Pelodiscus sinensis: one gene and its partner. The protein of the gene in region 1 purifies or fractionates together with the protein of each later gene. This does not show direct contact. Links are inferred from orthologs where the notes say so. Each region holds a gene or a part of one and is shown on either strand. Other genes may lie near its edges.

What was found.
Region 2: the proteins of USP18 (region 1) and STAT2 purify together in Homo sapiens (affinity purification with western blotting; 6 studies listed by BioGRID and IntAct, with this or other methods). This does not show direct contact. The link is inferred for Pelodiscus sinensis from reciprocal best matches to the Homo sapiens genes USP18 and STAT2.

What each region holds. Positions count from the first base shown.
Region 1 is NC_134711.1:110,690,922-110,702,374, reverse strand, and holds the start of USP18 (ubl carboxyl-terminal hydrolase 18), read right to left. Parts: upstream 4,920-11,453; 5' UTR 4,843-4,919; intron 1-4,842. UniProt on the Homo sapiens protein: Interferon-induced ISG15-specific protease that plays a crucial role for maintaining a proper balance of ISG15-conjugated proteins in cells. Regulates protein ISGylation by efficiently cleaving ISG15 conjugates linked via isopeptide bonds.
Region 2 is NC_134729.1:3,802,192-3,814,523, forward strand, and holds the start of STAT2 (signal transducer and activator of transcription 2), read left to right. Parts: upstream 1-7,071; 5' UTR 7,072-7,199; coding exon 7,200-7,283; intron 7,284-9,558; coding exon 9,559-9,713; intron 9,714-10,934; coding exon 10,935-11,100; intron 11,101-11,214; coding exon 11,215-11,313; intron 11,314-11,566; coding exon 11,567-11,659; intron 11,660-11,994; coding exon 11,995-12,073; intron 12,074-12,332. Other genes in the region: protein timeless homolog, read left to right, coding at 276-376; APOF (apolipoprotein F), read left to right, coding at 2,633-3,748. UniProt on the Homo sapiens protein: Signal transducer and activator of transcription that mediates signaling by type I interferons (IFN-alpha and IFN-beta).

The DNA of each region.
Region 1 (11,453 bases):
GAGCACACAGCTACACATGGAGGAGCGCCACTGCCATGGTAAGAGCGGCACATCCCTCAGCTGGTCCTGCAGGACAGGTAACAGATTGGGCTGCACGGGGTTTGGCCAGGCAGACTCCCACGGTGTGCAAGCAGCCAGCACCCACGCTCCCCTTCCTAGGCAGCAGGTTGGGCTGTGCAGGGCTCGGTGGTGGTGGGAGGCAAAGCAGCTGGGACTGAGGATCCTGCACACACAGGAGGCAGGTGAGGGCTTGGGGCCCTTTTGGGCTTTGCACCCATGGGGACTTGCTCTGGGATGCCATGAACTGGACCCCTGCGGGACCCCACCCCCTGCAGGCCTGGACACCTCGGGGACACCTACCTGCCCACCCCTGCTTTGCTGTGCCCAGCCTCCTTGCCCCTCCATTTCCCTTGACACCCCCGAGCCACCTTGACCTCCCCAAACACCCTCCTGAGCCACCTTTACCCCAGCCCTCTTCCCAGGGGCACCTGGGCCGCCCCCATCTCCCTGAACCCCCTCAGCCACTCTGCTCCTCAGGTTTAGCCCCAGGCACTTCCTGCCCCCATCTCTCTGTCCAACCAGACATCCTACCCCCCAGTCCACTTCTGCACCCTCCCTCCCAGCCAGATTCTGCACACTCTCTCCTGACCAGACACCTTACTCCTAGCCTGCTTCTGCACCCCACCTCGCTCCCAGATCCTGCACCCCATCCATATCCCATTTGCTGGCCGCTCTGTCCCACACACTGAACCCCTCATTTTTATCCCCACCCTATAGCCTGAGGGGATCCATAAAAATCTACTAATTCCAGAACCCCAGTAAAGTAAATCTGGCCTATGGAATGCCAAAGGAGTGTGGTGTCTGAGTTGGGGGCCACATCAGTGAGAATTATGGGTTCTGGAGGAGTTTTTGATTCTCACTTGCGCAGTCCTCAACTGATTTTTCTGTGGGTCAGTGGCCCCTGACACAAAAGGTTCCCTACCCCACCATGAATAAAGAAAACATTGAAATCTTTTGTGTCAGCCATAAATTAATATTTTACTTTATTTAAAATGAAGTTTGGAAAACTAACATGAGAAAGGTAAAGTGCTTAATCTATTTAATCATTTAAATTAAACCAGTCTCCCTAACTGCAGCACTAGCAAAATGGCCTGTGCATACTTCTGTAATTAACAGTGAGTTTCCATTAGCAACTGATGGTCCATGGAAAGGTTGACATTGAGCCACGGGCCAAAAAGTCTGAGAGCCACCAGCTTAGAGGGAACACTGGCGGGGACCGTCCTTCTCCTTCTCAGTCAGTGTGGGGTTGTTTGTTTTTTTACTTGTATGTGGCCCTCACAACTGATTTTTTTTATGGGTCAGCGCCCACCCACCCACCCAAAAAAGGCTCCCCACCCCTGGGTTAGGGTGTACAGTTACTATAGATGCTTGTAGAAGCATTTGATTTTTGTTTAAGGTAAAATTTACCAATTTCCACCATGCCATTGTTTCTCCCCTTCTGTAACATTTTCCCTCAACAGTTTTCTTATTTCCAAAAACAAATTTCCTTGTACACCTTCCTGTATTATTGAATGACCAATTGCTGACTTATTTTCTAAGCCTGTGTACAGGCCAATGCTAGGGACATATTTACTTGTATAGATCCCATAGTTCCTGCTAACAGTAACACACCCTTTTCCCTCTGCTGTTGCCATACTGGCAATATTCCCATTCTTGATTTTGATAAGGATGCACTGACAGGCTTTCCCAACTCTTGTATTTCAGCTGTAACAATTTAGTACGTTTGTTTGTCAATACCTCTATGTTAGTGGCATCCAGTACTCCAACTTCTAATCCAGTTCCACCCAAAGCAGTTTACAATACACCCTTTGGGTTTCTTTTTCTTATGGGGTTGTCAATATACCATAATTTTAGCTATGCTGCCCATCCCTTATGGAATGTTTGTACATATGGGGCGCATTGAGGTATGACCTTGGACACATTTAACCCAGTAAGATCCAGTGGGGGGAGCATGCAAAGTCTCTTGACCCCTGCCTCCACCCTGCTAGGGGCATACAGTAGCTAGATAGAAACGCCAGCTGTTTAAGAACCGGCATTTCTCTTTAGCCGCTGTGCACCCTTGGCAGGGGGAGAAGACTTCATCCGTTCCCTCGTCCTCAGGTCTTGATTGGCCTGGGAACAGGGGAGCAGCAAGATGGCCATGGGCCAGGTCCACCAGCGTGGTGGGCCAGATCCAGCCAGTAGGCTCCTTTGCCCACCCCTGGGCTGGACTCTTTGGACTCAGATAGATAGCTACTTCAAATGACTCATCAAGCTCAGAACATTCAGACATGGGGATAAACGTGTAGTTGACTACACAATTTACCGATCAGCCTGGGCTTATCAGTTAATCTTGTTGACTACATGCATCTCGCACCCTTTTGCTGCCTCTTTATTAGAGGCAGCAAGGAGGGGAGCAGGAGCCAGTGCCCATGAGAAGCTAGCTTTAAGCAGGCACCCCCGAGCACCAGGTCTGCCTGTCCCTCCACATCTGTGCTACTGCCTCCGATAGAGAGGCAGTAGTGTGGAGGGTAAGAGAGGCAGGCTGGAACTGATACACATGGGAACCCAGCTTTCAAGCAGGTTCCCCTCACATGCTGGCTCTGGAGACCCGCCTACCCCTTCCGCTGCCTCCTACAGAGGCAGTGAAGAGGGGGAGGCAGGAGCCAGTGCTGGGAGAAGCCATCTTAAAAGCTGGTTTCCCACAGCATCAGCTCCATCATGCTGCCAGCCCTTCCCCATGCTGCATGAAGTTGAGCAGAATACAATCAGAGTTTAGCTGGAAATTGAAGCTAGACAAATCCATAGTGGAAATTAGGGATAGTAAAATGTGTGTATTCAAGGAAACACGTAACTGCTGAACATTTCAGTGGTTACATGGTTGCACACAGGGGAGAGACTGCTCCCCAGAAGTCAGTGCACATGGGGAGCCAGTTTTTAAGATGGCTCCCCGCCAGTACTAGCTTCCACATACCTCCCACCCCACACCTCCCACCCCACACTGTATCAGAGGCAGGAGTGTGGGGGAGGGGACAGGTGGCTCCCCAGGAGCTGGTGGAGCTGTGAACAGCTCCTGCCTGCCCTCACTGCACCACTGCTTCTGATACCAAGACAGGGCTGCATGTAACCATGCATGTTAACCAATGAGTCCAGGCTCATTGATTAACCATGTACACGGTTAGGCTTTCACATCCCTACTGGAAATAAAATATACATTTTTAACAGTGAGAGTAATTAACCACTGTAACAATTTACCATTGTAGTGGATTCTCCATCAGTGACAAAGTTTTAAATCAAGATTGGATGTTTTCTCTAAAAGACATCCTTTAGGAATTATTGCGGGGAAGTTCTATGGCCTGGGTTGTACAAGGTATAGGACTGAATAATCACAATAGTCCCTTTGAGCCATGGACTCTATGAATCAGTATAGAGTTTAATTTCCAAATCACAATGATTTACTGGTCTCAATAGCTTTCAGTTTGAGATTCAAAGGGATAATTTCGACCAGTCTTTTTGTTAGCAACTTGACAATTTCTATATGGTATGCTTATTTATATACAAAACTGGTTAGCAATATCCATCTAAATAAATCTACCTACATTTTAAAGGGAAATTTAGTCTTCCCATATGTCTCCTCAATATTTCACAAACATTGCACTAAATGTTAACTAAATTTACATCGACCCAGAGAATCATATTCATCCAAAATACCAGTGATCCGATATTCACATTTTGTCTTCATTATTCATACAAGGAAATCTCATAATTTCTATAGTACCTTTTACCTTCTTATATACAGGAAATCCTACTTCTGCTTCATAAGAGCTGGAGAAATAGTTCAGCAAAAGGGTTTTTTCCCCCTAGTATCCTTGGCTTATGTCTATTCCCCACAAAAAGATTCTTCTCTGGGATCAATGGGCTCTCAGGTTTGCTAGAGCAAAAATGTTTGTAACTCAAGTAAAACTTCATTAAGTCTACACTGCAACACTATTTTGGGATACCAATCCCGCATCTTAACAGCAAGCCTGTTATTTCAAGCTCACTATTCCAACATCCCTGTAAGCCTCATTCCACGAGGACTAAGGGATGTTTTGGAATAGAGGGTCATTTCAAAATTTGGTGCTGTGTAGACAGCACCAAATTATGAAAAAAGCTATTTCGAAATAAGATGCTCAATTTGTGTGTCATAAAATGACACACACTTATTTCAAGCTGAAGATGCACCCTATAAAATTGTACTTTTATAATGGTCACAGTTATATGGGAATCTGATTTTTTTTTTACTAATTACAAAGTAATGTTTTTTATAGAGAGAGAGAGAGAGAGAGAGAGATCTTTATAATTCTGTGCCCCCTGAAAAGCTTTAACAAATCCACTTGAAACTTTGTATTTACACCGTGGTTTTGTTTTGTTTTTTTGAATGTAGTTACATTAGTGGGGAGCGGGTGGAACCTGCTGGACTGCTGGTCCCTGGAGCAGCTGATGTTTTCTGGTGGAGGAGTGCAAACTTTGCAGGCTCCCCCGGCCAGCCTGCCTCCACTCTGACTGGGAGAGAACACTTAAAGCGCTGAAAGGTAAATAGGTTTCCATCTCCTCGAAGACCTTGGTCTTTCTTCTGAGTCTGCAACCCAGTAACGCCAACCTGCGCTGACCTGCGCTGGACTAGAGCGAGCAGCCGAGAGAGGGGTGAGGGTTTCCTGCCGTGGAAGCCGCGCGCTTCTCCAGAAATTGCCGTACCCTCAAAAGTCCAGCCCTGCACAAGGGATTCCCACACGAGCTCTGAGGGGCAAGGGGGATACTCACTGCAGCGTCGGTGAGAAAAGCGAGCTCGGGGCACTGCTTTCGGGTTCTCCTCGGTGCCCGCAGCCGGCAACAGCTCCGCTCTCGACGCGGGTTTCCCCTGCTCTGCCGGCGCTGCGCTCTCCCCGCGCGGCCTCAGAGGGCAGCATTCCCCGCAGCCTCTCGTTCGGTTTTGATTTCCCGCTGTACACGCTGGGAGGATAGAAAGTGAAACTCAAAGCGGCTGCTCCTCCCTTCGCCACCCGGCCGCTCAAACAAGGTGCCGGGAGCCAGGGCTGGCCTCTAGAGGAGCAATGGCCCCGCTCTCACCGCCGCACTCCCTTGCGTAGGAATCCCACCACAGGCGTGGCGCGAAGAAGGAAAGGGGCACAGAAAAGGAGACTTTTCAACTACTCTTGGGGCACTGGCATAGGAGTCATTGATCACCGAAAATGCTTTGAAATGCAGTCAGAGTTTTAAAAAAAAACCCCACCACGCTATCGGAGTGACCCACCCATAACCTGGAGTAAAATACAGGACTATGTAGCACTTTAAAGACTAACAAGATGGTTTATTAGATGATGAGCTTTCGTGGGCCAGACCCACTTCCTCAGATCAAATAGTGGAAGAAAATTGTCACAACCATATATACCAAAGGATACATATATATATGGTTGAGACAATTTTCTTCCACTATTTGATCTGAGGAAGTGGGTCTGGCCCAGGAAAGCTCATCACCTAATAAACCATCTTGTTAGTCTTTAAAGTGCTACATAGTCCTGCATTTTGTTTCAGCTACACCAGACTCACACGGCTACATTTCTATAACCTGGAGTGACAGGGTTATGACATTTCATCCTCTCAGGCAACGCTATGTGAAGGGGACGGGATACCATTTGAGGTGGCTGGGAGAGGAATCATTTTGGATGGCAAGGTATCCGTTTTAAAGGTGGCAGTTTCAAGAAAGGTAGGGCTGAAAGTTATATGTTCCAGAAAAATGGATTACGGGGTGGAGGATGTTGTCAAAGTATATGATAAGTTTCCCTGACCTTTTCTGTCAGAAAAGGTGCTTACTTAGCAAAGGGATGATCACTGTACTGCTCAGAGGAGATCATTTCAGTCTCCTCTGCCCACTATTTTGAGGGGTGGGAGTGTCTCCATCCGCTGATGTTTATGTCTGAATTCTTCAAACTGACTTCTGCTTTTAAGACATGCTTTCTTCATCAGCTTTGTTTGGCACACTAGCCATGAGCCACATGTGGCTATTTTCCCAGTTGAGGGTGGCTAGTTGGCTTGAACAATATGGCTATTTGGCCAGGTGAGTGTGGCTAGATCGCTATAGCAGTAGCCACTCTGGCCTATACACAGGAATTTCTGGGGCGGGGAGTGGTGGGCTTTTATTGTAAATGTAGACTGCAGGTTTTTTTAAATATAAAGGAGTTCAAAATAATCATTAAATGAGGGTGCATAAGAGAGGTTAATGAAAAATTTGAGTGGAAACACTGGTAAAAATGATCTTATTACATACTAAAAAATTATACAGTTATAAAGGTTTTATAAATTACAAATCATTATCATTATAATTTATTATTTCGGCCAAAACATTTGATTGTGAGAAGCGATCGATTATAAATCGACATTTTAACACGTGAGGGGACTGTGAAGGAAGCGTTGTGATTGTAACCCACTGCCCAGCTGGGAGGGGAGCATTATCAATCACACACCTCTAGTGGAGGTGGGAAGACAACCAGAAAAAGATATGCATGCTTCTTTTTCTTTAGCCTCCATCTCCTACCTCAGTCTCTGAATTTTTTCAGTGAGGACCAAATGTGCAGAACCAAAGCAAATAAAATTGCCTGAGAATTTAAAAAGTATTTGAAGCAGAGAAGCCACCAAGCCAGGGATGAAGTCAGACCTGAGAGGCTGTGGACCACATGACACTCCCTCACCCACAGCCCAAGGAAAGACCAGGCCAACCTGCCTCCATCTCAGGCCCTGTCTCTCCCTGCCTTTGCTCCACCTGACTCCACCCTTACTCTGCCCTCTTCCCTGTCTTTGCTCTGCCCCCATACTGCCTCTTCCCTTCCCCTGAGTGATGTGGCCTGGAGGACTAGCAGGGTCGGGAATCCAGCCCCCTGTATTCACCAGCAGCAGTGGGAAAAGCAGAGCAAAGTGGCCTCAGCTCGCTGTGCCCCCCGGCTTCATTGCTCCACTTCCTGATGGTGAAGGCATGGGCAACACAGCTGGAAGAGTGAAGCAAGCTGGGGCCACATTGCTTTGCTTTCCCTGCCACTGCTGGTGAGTGTTGGGAGGCTGGACCTCCACTGCAGGTTCCAGGCCCCTCACTAGTCCCCCTGGATGCCAGGGACTCTGGCCCCACCCAGCCCTTTGCCCTTCTCACCTACTGTGTTTGAGGCATGCGTCCCCTCGTGCCCCCCTATGCATTGTCCCTGCATCACACTGACTATTGTAAGAACTCAAAGCTTAAGTCACACTGTCTAGTTCAAGTTCAGCTATAGAAACCCTGGTTCAGGTTGACGACTTTGGCAGGAGGTTTCTGTGATTTACTATGGCATAATCCAAACTAATCATCAACTTTTTGTTACCCCTCCCCTACAGCCTTGGATGCCTTACAATGCTTTGCAAAAGGAGCTCCTCTCTGGGCTGCTCACAAACAGCCTTCCAGCACTCAAGCCAAATCTTGATTGTGTAACTGCAGCCTGCCAACCACAATTTGGTTACACCCTGGGTTTCATCAGCCGTGGTTATACAGCAGTGTAACCCCAACACAATCCCAGTCCCTGATTTCCCCCCTAGAAATGCATGTCCTGTACTTTCCATCCTCTCCTGGCAGTGCAAAATATTTTGTTTGTTATTCCTTGAAGGGAATAATTTGCCATTTTATTATCTCAAATAGTTATTCAGAAGACACTTAAATTTGAACACAGATTAAATAAAACAACTTTAACTATAAAGAGAATTTTATGTGAGTAAAAGAAATGATCCATAAAAGTAAAAAATGGTTACAAGAAAAATAAAATGTTTACTAATACCTAACTTAAATAGACATGCATCTGATGAAGTGGGTCTTTGCCCACAAAAGCTTATGCTCCAATAAATCTGTTAGTCTATACGGTGCCACAGGATTTCTCATCATTTTAACTTAAACTATATGGCTGTGTCTACATTGGCATGATTTTGCGCCAAAGCAGCCGCTTTTGTGCAAAAACATGCTGCCTGTCTACAGTGGCAGGGAGTTCTTGCACAAGAACACTGACGTTCTAATGTGTGAAATCAGTGCTTCTTGCGCAAGAACTATGATGCTTCTGCTCAGGAATAAGCCCTCTTCCACAACTGTTCTTGCGCAAGAGGCCAGTGTAGACAGGCAACATGAAGTTCTTGCACAAGAAAGCCCAATGGCTAAAATGGCCATTGGAGCTTTCTTGCGCAAGAGAGTGTCTACACTAGCACAGATGCTCTTGCACAAAAGCACATCTCTTGCGCAAAGGCACATGCCAGTGTAGGCGCTCTCTTGCACAAATACTTTAACGCAAGAACTCTTGCGTTAAAGAGTATTTGCGCAAGATTATGCCAATGTAGACATAGCCTATGAGATTCAGGCAAAGTTTCTCATCAAATGCTTTCAGCAGTCTTATTGACCAAACCCTGTAACTCAGGAATCCCTTCCCCAAAGTCCAGTGCAAGATTTCCTTGTGTTTCAGGTGCAAAGAATGTGATGGGCAGAGAGAGGGACAGAGGGGGTTGTCTTGTGGTGTTTGTCTCTCCTTTTTATAGCTTATCCCTCTCTTGAAAAATCATTTCTTACTGGACTTTAAAAGTCAACGAGTCTAAGTATTTTCCTGCTGGTTTTATCTAACCTATTTGAGGTTTGTTTGTTTCCTTTACTACCTAATAACTTTGTGTACTTCTTAAATGCAAATTAAGCAGAGCACACATTCCTTTGTTTAGGACAGGCCTTTTTGCCATCTTCTATTTTATTTGGACAGGCTGGTGGGGTTTGGAAGTGTGTTAACACCATAATGAGGCCATCTTATAATATCATATGAGAGAATTGGATTTTTTGCTTGTTTTGTACTTTGGGGAAAATAATCTTAAATTGCTTTCCTTAAACATGTACAGAAGATATACTTGATGTATATATTAATTACAAATAATGGGCAATGAGGTTTTCCTTTAATTAGGGAACCTCTTGTTATATCCTAGAGGTAGGAAAATGAACGGTCTAGTAGTAGATTATGCAGAGCACATATGTAAGAAGAGACACAGATTTCTTTCCTGGGAAAAATTTCCTTAGTGGCATTGGCCAAGTAAGTTATGAACAATTTCCAATGCTAGTATATGTGCAAATCCTCCAGGTACTTCAGTGAAGGCATAGGAAGGAAGGAGGTATCTATGGGATTTTCAAAGGCAACACTGCAGTTCTCCATTGCTGCCATCACTTTTGCTGCCTCCATCAAAGTGAGCCAGCTCTACCCCCTCTGACAGAGCTGTATAGAATCCTTCTCCTGTTGCAAAATTCTGTTAGCAGGGTTTCAGTTGCCTAGCAGCCAACTCCCTTCAGTGGACGCAGCAGCAGTGATAATGGAGAACCTCCTGGGAACTTCCAGTTTAAACTGGCTTCAAACTAGGTTTGATGGGAGCAGGTGACCAAAGCCCACAGGTATGTGAAAAACATGGAGATCTGGGAGATGGGAGGGAGCATGGGTTATAATATGTGACAAAGCTCCTACGAAAACTCAGTGGGTCCTGCACTTTCTGGTGGATTTTGCTTGCCTCAAAGGGTACGTCGATGGAGCCATGTAGATTTGTTTGTTTGGCAAAGGGAAATGAAGCTGCGATTTAAATAATCACGGCTTCATTTAAAATTTACATGGCTGCCGCGCTGAGCCGACAAACAGCTGATCAGCTGTTTGTCGGCTCAGTGTGCTAGTCTGGACGCTCCCCCATCGACATGAAAGCCTTTTATTGACTTCCCCGGTAAACCTCATCCTACGAGGCATAACCGGGAGGTCGATAAAGGGCTTTCAGGTCGGCGCGGGAGCGTCCAGACTAGCGCTCTGAGCCGACAAACAGCTGATCAGCTGTTTGTCGGCTCAGCGCAGCAGCCATGTAAATTTGAATGAAGCCGCAATTATTTAAATCGCGGCTTCATTTCCCTTTGCTGATCAGCCTAATCTACATGGCTCCATCGATGGAGCCATGTAGGTTAGACACACCCAAAAGCTCACAGCAGCCTACAGTTTTAGGCACCATGCCCAAGGGCATTAGTTTGCTGTTTGCTGAGCTCTTTTCATCATTGGCAAGCATATAGTAAAATGGAGAATCAACTCCACATTCCTTTTTCCCAAGTGGAAATGGGGAGGTGAGTGTTGGGGGGAAACTTGGGCCCACCCTCTATTCCCAGTTCCAGCCTAGGGCCCTGTAACAGCAGCTGCCTGTGTGAATTCCCAACACCTGCTATAAGACAGCCCCAAAGATCCCTGAGCTACTTCCCCAGCACCTTCTTTCTCTCTGGTTCATCCTCCTAGTAGTCAGTTGTTGTCTCCTTTTCTCCTTCTTCCAGTGGTACCCTCCTCCAGCCTCTCAGCTACACATCTAGGAAGGAGCATGGCGGAAAGAGATCTAGGGGTCATAGTGGACCACAAGTTGAATATGAGTCAACAGTGTGATGCTGTTGCAAAAAAAGCAAATATGATTCTAGGTTGTATCAACAGGTGTGTTGTAAGCAAAACTCTTGAAGTCATTCTGCCACTCTACTCTGCGCTAGTTAGGCCTCAGCTGGAGTACTGTGTCCAGTTCTGGGCGCCACATTTCAAGAAAGATGTGGAGAAATTGGAAAGGGTACAGAGAAGAGCGACAAGAATGATTAAAGGTTTAGAGAACATGACCTATGAAGCCAGGCTTCATGAACTGGGCTTGTTTAGTTTGGAAAAAAGAAGATTAAGGGGGGACATGATAGCGGTTTTCAAATATCTAAAAGGGTGTCACAAGGAGGAAGGAGAAAATTTGTTCCTCTTGGTTTCTGAGGACAGGACAAGGAGTAATGGGCTTAAAGTGCAGCAGGGGAAGTTTAGATTGGACATTAGGAAAAAATTCCTAACTGTCAGGGTGGTCAAATATTGGAATAAATTGCCAAGGGAGGTGGTGGAATCTCCCTCTCTGGAGATATTTAAGAACAGGTTGGATAGACATCTGTCAGGGATGGTATAGACAGAGCTTGGTCCTGCCTTGGGGGGGAAGGGGCTGGACTCGATGACCTCTCGAGGTCCCTTCCAGTCCTATGATTCTATGATCTGCCCCAAATGCGGGCAAAGCTTCTTTTATAGCCATTCTGAACTGGTTTTCTTAATTACCCCCAGGTGTCCTAATTACCCCCAGGTTTGGGGGGAGGCCTAAGCTGGTCTGACTCTGCAGGCCTGGTCAACTAGTTCCACTGCCCTCATTGCCTCTGCTGGTTCTAAACCAGCCCTTCCCTGTTACTCTGGAAACAGAGATCACCTCAGTCTGAGGCTTATATATCTCCCCTCCACTATTTTTTTATAGCCTTCTGTTCTGACCCTGTCACAAATACCAGAGATAAAGGAGGGACAAGGCAGAACTAGGGGGCAAAATCA
Region 2 (12,332 bases), on another chromosome or scaffold:
CTCCCTGCCGCCTGGCTGTTCCACTCCCTCCCCCCCCTTCCCCTGCTTGGCTCCCTCCCTGCGGATGGGGCTGGTAACAGCTGCTGGGGGGCCGAGCCAGGAGGGGCCCCAGGTGCCTCCTGGTCTGGAGGGCAGGGGGCGAATAGTCACTGTCTAAGCTGGGGCGCTCTGGGGGGAGGGGGCTGGCCAGGGGGCAGAGAAGGGGGGAGCAGGGTGAGGGGGGGGCACGTGGCTGGGTGCCTGGCCTGAGCTCCCTCCTTCATTCTACCTTTCAGTGGCAGCGCCAGCTCGGCCGGCCCCAGATTCGGACGGGGAGGGGGCGCGGCCCCCCAGCCGCAGGAAGCGCCTGCGCATTGAGGAGGAGGAAGAGGATTAAAGGGGCCGGACCGGAGCCTCCAGCACCCCTGCCGGCTGCTCTGGGCAGGCCTGGCCCTGCCTTGGACACTGACTCCTCCACTCGCTGCTTGGCAGCTAGGCTGGGGGGGCTGGAGCCAGGCAGCAGGGGGCACTATGGAGCCAGGCAGCCCCCGTCCCCCTGGCATTGAGGGCTGACCCTTCCCCCTCCCCCTCCGAGGGATCAAAGCCCCAGGGTGGGGGGACCCCTGGGAATTGGGTTCTGGGGCCCAAGGCTGAATTGTTTCTTGCCCCTCGTGTGGCTGCCTCCCCCAAGGGAGTCACCGGGAAGTGGCCTGCCTGGGGGCTGCAGCCTCACGTGGGAAGGGGGCATCTTGGGGGAGGGGAGACCCAGGCCCAGCCCCTCTGTCCTGGCCAGGCCCAGATGCCCCAGTGTCCACCCAGCAGGACACAGACCCCTCTGCCCCCCCCCCCCCAAATCCCAGTGGATTGAGCGTGGGAACCCCCCCTCCCCCCCAGGAGGTGCCATGATGCCTGGGGCTGGATGGTGGATCTGCTGGGGCCTGTCAGCCAGCCAGGAGGGGCCCCTGCTGGAGCAGTAGGGCTGGATCAGTGGGGCTGGAGCAGCTGTGCCTTGGTGTGCTCAGCAGAGGGAGGCGTTAGTTCTGCTGGTGCCTCGCTGCGCCCCCAGAGGCCTTAACGCCCCCCTCCCCGGGTTGTTCCCTGCGTGGGGCCTGCACCCCAGCCCCCTTCCTCGTTTAGTTTCCAGCAGGAGTCGCGCACCCCCCCCCCTTGTTTGCTGTGTCATTGCGAATGGGCAAAGGCCAAAATAAAATGGGCTGAACCTGCTCCCTTATCTCCCTGTTGCAATGGGGGGTTCTGAGCGCCCCTCCCTGTGGCAGCCCCAGGCTGGGGGTTGGCTCTGCCCTCCCCCGCACTGCCTCCTGCACCAGAGCTGGCCTGAGGAGGGGGGCCTGGGCCAGCTTCACCCACATCTCGCTGCCCTCCCCTCCCTCCCAGTCCCCACCTCCCCTGCTGCCTGCCCCACAAGGGGCTGGCCCCCCAGCCTGAGGCTCCTGCACCCGCCCCGGAGAGAAGGGAGCAGGGACCGGTGGGCTGATCAGCTGCCTGATAAGGGGGCCCCTAGCCTAGTGACCTCCCCCCGGTGGCCTATAAGAGGGGCCGGGCGGGCCAGGCATCCTACCATCCCTCCCCGCACCCAGGAGCTCCTGGTCTCATCTGTCCCCAGGTGAGCAGAAGCCCTAACGCCGCTGCTGCCGCGGTTTGCTCTCGCACGGGGAGGGGGCACGTTTACACTAGGCCTTTGCACGAGCGTCAGGTGCCAAAACCCGATGGGGTGGCTCTCTCACTGGGGGGGGGACTGTTATGGGGGGGACTGCTATTACATCATTCTCCCCCCTCAGCGTGCAATTCCCTGGCAGTGGGGGGGGGGGGGGATGCCCTATTTCCTGGGGGGGATGGAAGCTCTATGCTGTGTGGGTCCCTTGGGCTGAATCGAGGGTGGGAATTTGCTCCCTGCCCTCCCCTGGATGCTGATGTTGGTGAGCAGTCGGGAGGGGGGGGGCTCTTTTCCAACTCAGGCAGCCCAGTGCCCTGGGGGAATGGCCCAATTGGTGCCTACCGGCCTCACTGGTTCCTTGGGGGGGGGTGCACCCTGCCACCCGGTTCAGTGCAGCTGCTTCTAACTGCATAGGAAAGGAGGGGCCTGTTTTGCTCCCAGAACCCATCTGTGTTGAGGGACCACCTCCCCGTGCCCAGCTCCGGGGGGGCCCCCTTTGGGCTCCAGAGGCTTGGGGGTTTGTCGGCGCCCTTGCTCCCAACCTGCAGCCACCTGCTCGCGCCAGGCTGGCGTCCCTGCCAGAACGGTCCCAGCTGCTCCGGTCACACTTCCTGTCTGCGGATCTCAGGGTGTGGTAGAGATGGGGAAACTGAGGCACAGAGCCCGGCAGGCCAAGGGCAGAGCTGGGAGCAAGACAGGGACCTCCGGCATCCCAATGCTGTGTCCTGTCCATTAGGCCACGCTGCCCCCCTACCGCTCTGCAGTGACCCCCGTTCCAGTCCCCCTCCTAGCCCAGCCCTGTGCAGCTGGGGCATGGCTGGCCATGCTGCCGTGCTCCAGAGGACAAAGATTGGTCCCCGCCCCCAGCTGTGGCAATAGCAGCAGATCCTGGGTGGCAGGGAGGGGCTCTGAATTCTTGTGTCTGTGACGTGTCCCCTTCAGCAGGGTCTGCGCTGCCCCCCGAAGGACCTGCCCGCCATGCACCCGTCACTTCTCTGTTTCTGCCTACTCCTGCTGGGCCCTGAGCTCGAGGGGCACTTGCTGCTCCCCACAACTCGCCCGGGAGGCGCCGCTGGGACCCTCAAGCCCCCAGGCCTGGCTGTCTCCCCCTTCCCCAGCGGCCAGCGGGCTGGGGCCAGGGCCTTGCTTGGCTCCCTCCCATTGCAGCTTCCCCAGCCGGGGCTCCCAAGGAGGGGTGTCTCCTGCCCCGACTTGCTGCCCGCAGCCCTGGAGGGTTTCTCCGAGCTCCCACCGCTGCCCTGGAGCCTCGCCAGCGCAGCCTTGGCCCTCTCCCTCCAAGGGGCCGGCTGCCCCCACCAGGCCGAGGCGCTGGTGCTGCAGCTCTACGAGGCGGTGGGGACGGACGATGCCAACGCTCTGCTCCTGGGGGTAGCGAGCCTGCCCGGAGCCCCCAAGCAGGGTGGGAGAGGCCGGGCCGCCTTGCTCTTCAATGTGGATCAGCTGGCAGGCGTGGACCCCCAGCGCTGCTCAGGGCTGGCTCGGCTCGACTCCCTGCTGCTGGGCCCGGTGGCCAGCACCCATGCCACCTTCCCCGCCGCCGCCGCCGCCTGCCGCCAGCTGGGGGCTGCCTGTGCCGGCGTGGCGCCCAATGGCACCGCTTTCTCCGTGATCGACCGGCACGGCGCCTACTCCCTGCCGGGCCGCGGGGCCCCAGCCTGGCTTCACCGCTGCAGCCGGGCCGGGAGGAGCCGGCGCGGGACCGTGGCAGCCTGCGGCAACGCACGGGAGCAGAAGGTCCACAGTGTGCTGCAGTGGGTGCCCGTGGTCAGCACGTACTACAACGTGGGCACCAGCATGTACTACGCCTTCCGGAACTGCACCGAGCTGGCCCAGGACCGGGGCCTCGAGGCCGCCATGGATCTGGGCTACGACGCCCTCTTGGGGCTGACGGGCGGGATGGGGAGCCCCATGGCCGTGGGGGCGGCCTTGGGGCTGAGGCCAGCATTCAAAGTGGGCGTGCGGTCTCTGATCAGCTACTTCCGGCAGGTGGCGCCGGCTGAACCCCTGCCCACGAGCTTCTCTGGCCCCTTCAGGGTAGCCACCTCCTTCCCACTGGGAACGCGGCGAGTGTGAATAAACCTGAGCACCCCCCGTGCTTTGATCCTAGTGCCGGTGTCTGTGATGGGGGCAGCTGGGGGGGGGGGCATGGAGGGGAGCTGCCTTATAGCCAGCCCAGCTTCAGGCCTAGCCAATTGCACCCTCCTACATGCAGCGAGGATGCTGGGTCTCAACCCAGTCCTGCTGGCCTGCTGTCTCAGCCACAGCAGGCATTGGGGCTGGAGTCTGGCCTCAGGGGAGGTGGGAAGGCCCTACCCCCACCATGTGCCTGCGAGCTCAGCATGGGCGCCTGTGCATGAAATTGACAAAGGGCTTATGACCTCTCGCCAGGGTTAGCCTGACCCAGACAGCCAGCTGCCAAGTGTCTATAAAGATCAGCAGGGCTCAAAGGTGCTGGCTGAGCAAATTTCCCCCAGTCACGTGGCCTGCCCGGCCCAGCCTCGTCCTGCCTAACGCAGTTTGTTACCAACCGGGAAAGCGTGGGCTAGTGGTCACAGCAGGGTACGAGGCCACCTGGGTTCTGGTCTTGACTTGGGTGCATTTATCAGTCCCCAGCCTTTTGACAAGTGCGTTGAGAGCCGAAGCTACACGGCAGGGGCCCTGGAGAGAGCGCCAGCTCCCTGCCCCTGTGAGCAAACCCTGGCCCCTGCAGTGTGCCCAGGACCAAGGTGCGGCGCCGCGTCGGGGAGCCCCCGACCCTGCACCCCTGTCTGCAGCCGGATGTGAGACTCAGCCAAGCTGCAGAACAGAAGGTTGATTTGCTTCCCAGAGATACAGGGCAGCGCAGGCTCGACATTGACACAGGAGCCAGGGCAGAGCCTCGTCCTCTCGGGGGAAAGGGGTTCACAGGCCCTGGATTTAGTCTGCTTCCTTCATGCTTCCCTCTGCCAAGCCTGCCCAAACCTCCAGCAACTCAGCCCCCCGGCAGCCGCACCCTTTGCTTTGTTTCAGGTTCCACTACCTAGCCCAGGTGTCAGGGTGCTGGGGGACGGGGACACCCACGCAGAGCGTGTACAGCACACCCCACTACTCACACCAGCGCAGTGCCTGGGCTCTGGGGCCAGCTGGCTAGGGTGGAAACATCTGCCCAGCTGCAATGACGGATTATTGGAGAGACCCATCCCCAGGCGGAGGAACCCAGCTGCTCCCCGGAGCCGCGTCACCCTCCCATGAGCAGCGTGGGCTGGGGCCTGGCCCAGAAGGGGGAGGAAGATTAGAGAACCGTGCAGCACCAGCCTGGGCAGAGAGGAGCCCCTGCAGCTCTGCATAGGGCCATGCGGGGCTGGGCCTGGCATCCCCCTTTGGCTGGGCTGCATCCTCGCATGTCCCTGGGGCGGGGGGGGGGACGACACTGCTGGTACTGCAGGAGCTGATTCATTGCCCAAAGACCATGCCTGCCCCTCCTCTGCAGGGCCAGGGAGAGCCCCGGGCAGGGACTACTAACCCCTGGCAGGGTGATGAGAGAAGGGGGATGTCCCTCAGCAGGGGGGCAGTGGAGGGGCTGGAGGCTCTAGGGGTTAGGGCTGGCACTGGGGGGCTCTGGGGACTGGATGCAGGGGGGCAGCGGAGGGGCCGGCACCGACGGGCTCTGGGGACACGATGCAGGGGGGCAGCGGAGGGGTCGGCACTGGGGGGCTCTGGGGACGCGATGCAGGGGGGCAGCGGAGGGGCCGGCACTGGGGGGCTCTGGGGACGGGATGCAGGGGGGCAGCGGAGGGGCCGGCACTGGGGGGGCTCTGGGGACGGGATGCAGGGGGGCAGCGGAGGGGCCAGCACGGGGGGGCTCTGGGGACGGGATGCAGGGGGGCAGCGGAGGGGCCGGCACGGGGGGGCTCTGGGGACGGGATGCAGGGGGGCAGCGGAGGGGCCGGCACCGGGGGGCTCTGGGGACGGGATGCAGGGGGCAGCGGAGGGGCCGGCACGGGGGGGCTCTGGGGACGCGATGCAGGGGGGCAGCGGAGGGGCCGGCACTGGGGGGCTCTGGGGACGCGATGCAGGGGGGCAGCGGAGGGGCCGGCACTGGGGGGCTCTGGGGACGCGATGCAGGGGGGCAGCGGAGGGGCCGGCACTGGGGGGCTCTGGGGACGCGATGCAGGGGGGCAGCGGAGGGGCCGGCACTGGGGGGCTCTGGGGACGCGATGCAGGGGGGCAGCGGAGGGGCTGGAACCGGGGGGCTCTGGGGACGCGATGCAGGGGGGCAGCGGAGGGGCCGGCACTGGGGGGCTCTGGGGACGCGATGCAGGGGGGCAGTGGAGGGGCCGGCACTGGGGGGCTTGGCTTGGGGTGTTGGATTGGCCCCCCCGCTGGGGCCTGGGCTCCCCAGTGGGGAGAGTGGGCGAAGCCGCCCCACTCTGCGGGCCCCGCCCCTCATTCACTCTCTTAGTATAGCTCCGCCCCCTTTCCGAGGCCCCGCCTCTTTCTCCCCTGTTACATCATTTCTGGGAATTCAGTAGGCTGGCTTCGGCCCCGGGCTCCGGTCTTCCGCTTAGCGCCTCCCCTCCCGCCGCCGCTGATGGAGGGAGGCGTGTCCTGCCCCGCCTCTCAGCCAACCGGCGTCGGGCAGGGGCGGGGTCTCCTCCCGGAGGAGGAAGAGCGGGTCGCTGCGCGGTGGGAGGGTCGCGCGGAGGCCGGCACGGCAGGCTTAGAACACCAGCGAGCCGGGCAGCCTCGGAGCCAGGTGAGGGGGGCGGGGCAGGCAATGGGATGGGGGCTACTAGGGGGCTGGGGGCTCTAGTGGTTAGAGCTGGCACTGGGGGCTCTGGGGCTGGGTGCAGGGGGCAGTGGGGGGGCTGGGGGCTCTAGGGGTTAGAGCTGGCACTGGGGGCTCTGGGGCTGGGTGCAGGGGGCAGTGGGGGGGCTGGGGGCTCTAGGGGTTAGAGCTGGCACTGGGGAATCTGGGGCTGGGTTCTCTAGTGGTTAGAGCTGGGGCTGGGTGCAGGGGGCAGTGGAGGGGCTGGGGGCTGTAGTGGTTAGAGCTGGCACTGGGGGCTCTGGGGCTGGGTGCAGGGGGCAGTGGGGGGGCTGGGGGCTCTAGTGGTTAGAGCTGGGGCTGGGTGCAGGGGGCAGTGGGGGGGCTGGGGGCTCTAGTGGTTAGAGCTGGGGCTGGGTGCAGGGGGCAGTGGGGGGGCTGGGGGCTCTAGTGGTTAGAGCTGGGGCTGGGTGCAGGGGGCAGTGGAGAGGCTGGGGGCTCAAGGGGTAAAGGCGGCACTGGGGGGTTCTGGGGACGGGGCTGGGGGCAGTGGAGGGGTGTCCGGGGGCTGCTGTCGCTGCCAGCTGATGAGTTGTTAAGGAGCAGTGTAAGCCCTTTTTACCTCCTCACAGTGCCCCCTTTATGTGGGGGGTGGGGCTGGTACTGGGGGTTCTGGATGGAGTGGGGCTGGTATTGGCGGTTCGGGGCTGGCTGTCATGGTGCCCTGCCCCCTGGGGCAGGAGTCTCCCGACCAGTGTTAGCCCCACCCCTCCCTCCATGAACCCTGTGGAGCAGGGGGCAGGGCTGTCATGGCGGGGGTGCAGCTCTGGGCAGTGGTTGGCACTTGCAGCCCCTTGGCAGGTAAGGCCCGGCCCAGGGAACGTGCTCTGTGGGGCAGACACCGCCCCTCTCTGCATGTGATGCAAGCTGCAGTTGACTTCCTGGCTTCCCCCTGGGGAGCCCGGTCAGGAGTCTGATCACCCGAGCCCCTGGGTGAGGCCAGAAACCGCCTGGCCTGGCCCTTTCTGCCCTCGGGTGCACCGAATCCCTCCTCAGCCTATCCTGAAGGGGTTAGCCCCAACCCCGCCGGAGCCGAGCCAGGAGGGAGGGCTGGGGACATGCAGAGGCGAGGACGTGGGTTGCACTCAGCCGTGGGTGACAGGCTTTGACGGCAGGGCACCTGGTGCCTCACCTGAGCCCTGGTCTAGCCAAGCCCTGGCACGCGCGCCCCCCCCCCCCATCTCCCTTCCCTCGGGGGTTGACAGGAGAGCAAATTGCTTTTGCAGCTGGGAGCAGGACTCGGGCCTGGGTGGGGGGGCATGTTTGGAAATGGCTTCACGCGCTGATGGTGTCAAGTGGCTGGGTGCCAGGGAGGGTGGCGCTGAAGTTCAAAGGCGGAACTAGGGGGTGTTCAATGTGTGGCGCTCAGCTTTGACTGCGCCCCACAGCCCCTGGGCTCCCCTCAGCTCTGCCAGTGCCCCTCGCTCCCAACGCCCAGCCTTGGGCCCCCCCTCGGCTCCCCCTTTTAGCTGAAGGGCCCCGGCTCCTCCCAAGGATTTGTGCAGTTCCTGCCCTTAAAGACCTTCCCCAGAGCGAGCGGCTCTGCAGAGGCCCCCGGAGCCCAGTGAGACGGGGTGAGGGCTTTGCAGGAACCGGAGGGCTCATTTCCTGGCACCCCCAAAGCAGCCCAGCTTTGCCCCCCAGCTTACGGCCCTCGTGCGGGGGCCCTGCGGCTTGGGGCCTGTGGTTTGTGTCTGCGGTTGAGTCTCCTCTCCTAGTTTCACATCCACAGGCTGCTGCTTTGTCCAGCTTGCAGACGCTCCCATGGAGGGATGCAGGCTTGGGGGGGGGGTCCAGCCGCTAGGCCCCTGTGGCCATAGCGGGCGGAGGCTGGAAACTGTCCTAAATGACCTAGGGAGGCATCTGTGCTCTGACAACTGCTGCTACATCTTTCCTCAGCTTTGATTTCCTGGTGGGTTCCCTTTATGCCGGGCTGGACTGGCAGGGGCTGTGGGGCAGGAGTGAGGGGCAGGGGCTGGGGGGGCAGAGGCTGTGGGGCAGGAGTGAGGGGCACTGGCAGGGCTGTGGGGCAGGAGTGAGGGGCACTGGCAAGGCTGTGGGGGCAGGGGCTGTGGGGCAGGAGTGAGGGGCGCTGGCAGGGGCTGTGGGGGGCAGGAGTGAGGGGCACCGGCAGGGCTGTGGGGCAGGAGTGGGGGGCAAGGGCTGTGGGGCAGGAGTGGGGGCACAGGCTGGGGGGGCAGGAGTGAGGGGCACTGGCAGGGCTGGGGGGAAGGAGTGAGGGGCACCGGCAGGGCTGTGGGGGGCAGGAGTGAGGGGCACTGGCAGGGCTGTGGGGGCAGGGGCTGGGGGGGAAGGAGTGAGGGGCACTGGCAGGGCTGGGGGGGCAGGGGCTGTGGGGGCAGGAGTGAGGGGCACTGGCAGGGCTGGGGGGGCAGGGGCTGTGGGGGCAGGAGTGAGGGGCACTGGCAGGGCTGGGGGGCAGGAGTGAGGGGCACTGGCAGGGCTGGGGGGCAGGAGTGAGGGGCACTGGCAGGGTGGGGGGGGCAGGAGTGAGGGGCACCGGCAGGGTGGGGGGGGCAGGAGTGAGGGGCACCGGCAGGGTGGGGGGGGGCAGGAGTGAGGGGCGGGGGCAGGAGTGAGGGGCACTGGCAGGGCTGTGGGGGCAGGGGCTGGGGGGGAAGGAGTGAGGGGCACTGGCAGGGCTGGGGGGGCAGGAGTGAGGGGCACTGGCAGGGCTGGGGGGCAGGAGTGAGGGGCACTGGCAGGGCTGAGGGAGCCAAGGGCTGGATTCTTACCCAAAAGAAAGCCAGTTGCTAGCATGAGCTATGAATGCTGGGGGGGGGCACAGGCAATGGGGGTCCTCCAGTGCCATTCAGCAGCCCCTCTCCACACAGCCTGGGGCAGCTGCCCCGTGTGGAGTGACCCTGCTCTGTGCTGCTGAGGCCCTGGGGGAGCCGGGTTCGAGGCAGCGGCAGCGGCTGTTTCCCTTCCCAGCGGTGGCTGCAGAGCTGGGACCGACCCATCCCCGAACGCAGGCTCCTTGTGCCCCAGGAGGGGGAGGCTGCTGTCCCAGCCCCTGGCCCCCACTCACCTGCTGCCTGGGTTTGCTCCGCAGAGGGGGGCTGGCACGGCCCCCAGCATGGCTCAGTGGCAGGAGGTGCAGCAGCTGGAGAAGGCCTACCTGGATCAGGTGCACCAGCTGTACTCGGACGACCACCTGCCCATGGAGGTGCGGCAGTACCTGGCGCCCTGGCTCGAAGACCAGAACTGGTAACGGCCAGCGAGGGAAGGGTTAATGGGGGGGGCAGAGTCAGCAGCTGGGACCCACGGCAAGCGCTGGGGACGTCTCAGATTGAACCGGGGGTGGTCTGGTGTGGGGGAGGGGAGTGACACCCCCACAGGCAGCCCTGCGGGAAGGGGGAGCAGGAGAAGAGATGCGACCCTCAGGCACCTCTGCTGGCATGCCCCGGGGGTCCCCGCTGGAGGGGGACGGGCAGGAAAGGGACAGTGCAGCCCCAGGGGTCCCCGCTGGAGGGGGACGGCAGGAAAGGGACGGTGCAGCCCCGGGGGTCCCTGCTGGAGGGGGACGGCAGGAAAGGGACGGTGCAGCCCCAGGGGTCCCCGCTGGAGGGGGACGGCAGGAAAGGGACGGTGCAGCCCCAGGGGTCCCTGCTGGAGGGGGAGGGGCAGGAAAGGGACAGTGCAGCCCCAGGGGTCCCCGCTGGAGGGGGAGGGGCAGGAAAGGGACAGTGCAGCCCCAGGGGTCCCTGCTGGAGGGGGAGGGGCAGGAAAGGGACAGTGCAGCCCCGGGGGTCCCCGCTGGAGGGGGACGGCAGGAAAGGGACGGTGCAGCCCCGGGGGTCCCTGCTGGAGGGGGACGGCAGGAAAGGGACGGTGCAGCCCCAGGGGTCCCCGCTGGAGGGGGACGGCAGGAAAGGGACGGTGCAGCCCCAGGGGTCCCTGCTGGAGGGGGAGGGGCAGGAAAGGGACAGTGCAGCCCCAGGGGTCCCCGCTGGAGGGGGACGGCAGGAAAGGGACAGTGCAGCCCCGGGGGTCCCTGCTGGAGGGGGACGGCAGGAAAGGGACAGTGCAGCCCCGGGGGTCCCTGCTGGAGGGGGAGGGGCAGGAAAGGGACGGTGCAGCCCCGGGGGTCCCTGCTGGAGGGGGACGGCAGGAAAGGGACGGTGCAGCCCCCGGGATCCCCGCTGGAGGGGGAGGGGCAGGAAAGGGACAGTGCAGCCCCGGGGGTCCCTGCTGGAGGGGGACGGCAGGAAAGGGACGGTGCAGCCCCGGGGGTCCCCGCTGGAGGGGGATGGGCAGGAAAGGGACAGTGCAGCCCCGGGGGTCCCTGCTGGAGGGGGAGGGGCAGGAAAGGGACAGTGCAGCCCCGGGGGTCCCCGCTGGAGGAGTGGGGTGCAGCCCGGGCTCTCCCGGCAGCGCGGGGCGGTCTGGGGGCGGGGACCCTGCAGTGCGCCCTTGTCTCTGCCCCAGGAGCCAGGCAGCCGAGCTCCCTGTGTCCGAGTCCCACTCCTCCCAGGCCCACATGCTGTTCCACACCCTTCTGGCCATGCTGGACGACCAGTACAGCCGCTTCGGCACCCGCCAGGAGGACTTCGTGCTCAAACACAACCTGCGCAAGTCCAAGCTCAACCTGCAGGTGGGGGCCGGGCTGCTGGGGGGAGAGGAGGTGGGTGGGGTCCAGGGGGGTGGGGCAGGGTGTCTGTGCCCCCCCCCCCCCCCCCCGATCCCAACGCCTCTGGCTTCCTTCCAGGCCAAGTACCAGGAGCGCCCGGAGGAGCTGGCCAACGTCATCGCCAACCTGCTGCTGGAGGAGAAGGCCATTCTGAGCAGGGGCCATGCAGCCCAGCAGGCAAGGCAGGGCAGGGGCCGATCCCTGGGCTCATAGTGCCCCCCCCAGCAGCACAGTGCCTCCCCCACTCCCTGCCAGACCAGAGCCCCCCAGTCTGCCTCCCTCCCTCCCTGAGTAGTGACCCCCTCAGCCTGGCTTCCCGCCGCGCCCCCTAGTGCTGTATTGGGGAGAGCCCCCTTTCCTGGGTAGCCGGCCCACCCCCCTGGCTCCGGCTGGGGGGCTCAGGGGCCCGTCTCTTGTGCGTCCCCTGCAGGCGACAGCTCCGCCACCGTCCAGCGCCCCCATGGAGACAGACCGGCAGCAGAAGATTTCAGGGCGCCTGGCGGAGACCCGGGCAGCGGTGCAGGTGGGTATGGCCTGGAGCTCGCCCGGTGCCCTCCCCAGACCACCCCACGCTGGCAGGAGAGGGACAGGGGAGCCTGGGCTGCACCCCTCTCCTCCAGCGGGGATACCTGGGGCTGCACTGCCTCCCCTCCTCCCTCTGGGCGCTGGTTCCCCTGCATCCCTTCCCCACTGGGCCTTAGGTGCAAATGCCTCAGTTTCCCGGTGTGTAGGGAGCCTGGGGCCCTGCCCCCAGCCCATCCTGAACATGTGGCCAGATGGCTCCGACCCCGGACCCAGCCCCAGCGTGCACCCCAGGCTCTCCTTCCCCCATAGCCGGTTCCCTTTGCCCCCTGCCAGGAGCTGGATCGCACCGTGCGGCACCTGGAGGAGCTGCAGGACACCTTCGATTTCCGCTATAAGGTTCACCGCATGGCGGGTGAGGAGCCCGGCTGGCTGGCGGAGGGAGGGTGAAGTGGGGGGGGGGGATGGGGCAGCAGAGGGGGCTGAGCAACCCTGGGGGTAGGCGTAGTCGGGGAGGGGGGGGTCTTCTGCTTGCTCCCCCCAACATGCTCCACGTGCAGGCGGGTTTCCCGAGGGAGGGCAGAGCCGCCAGGAGGGCGCGGGGTGTGGGGGGACAAGGAGACCCCTCCCCAGAGCCGCCGCCGCCCTCCCTACCTAATGTGGTGCTAGGGGGC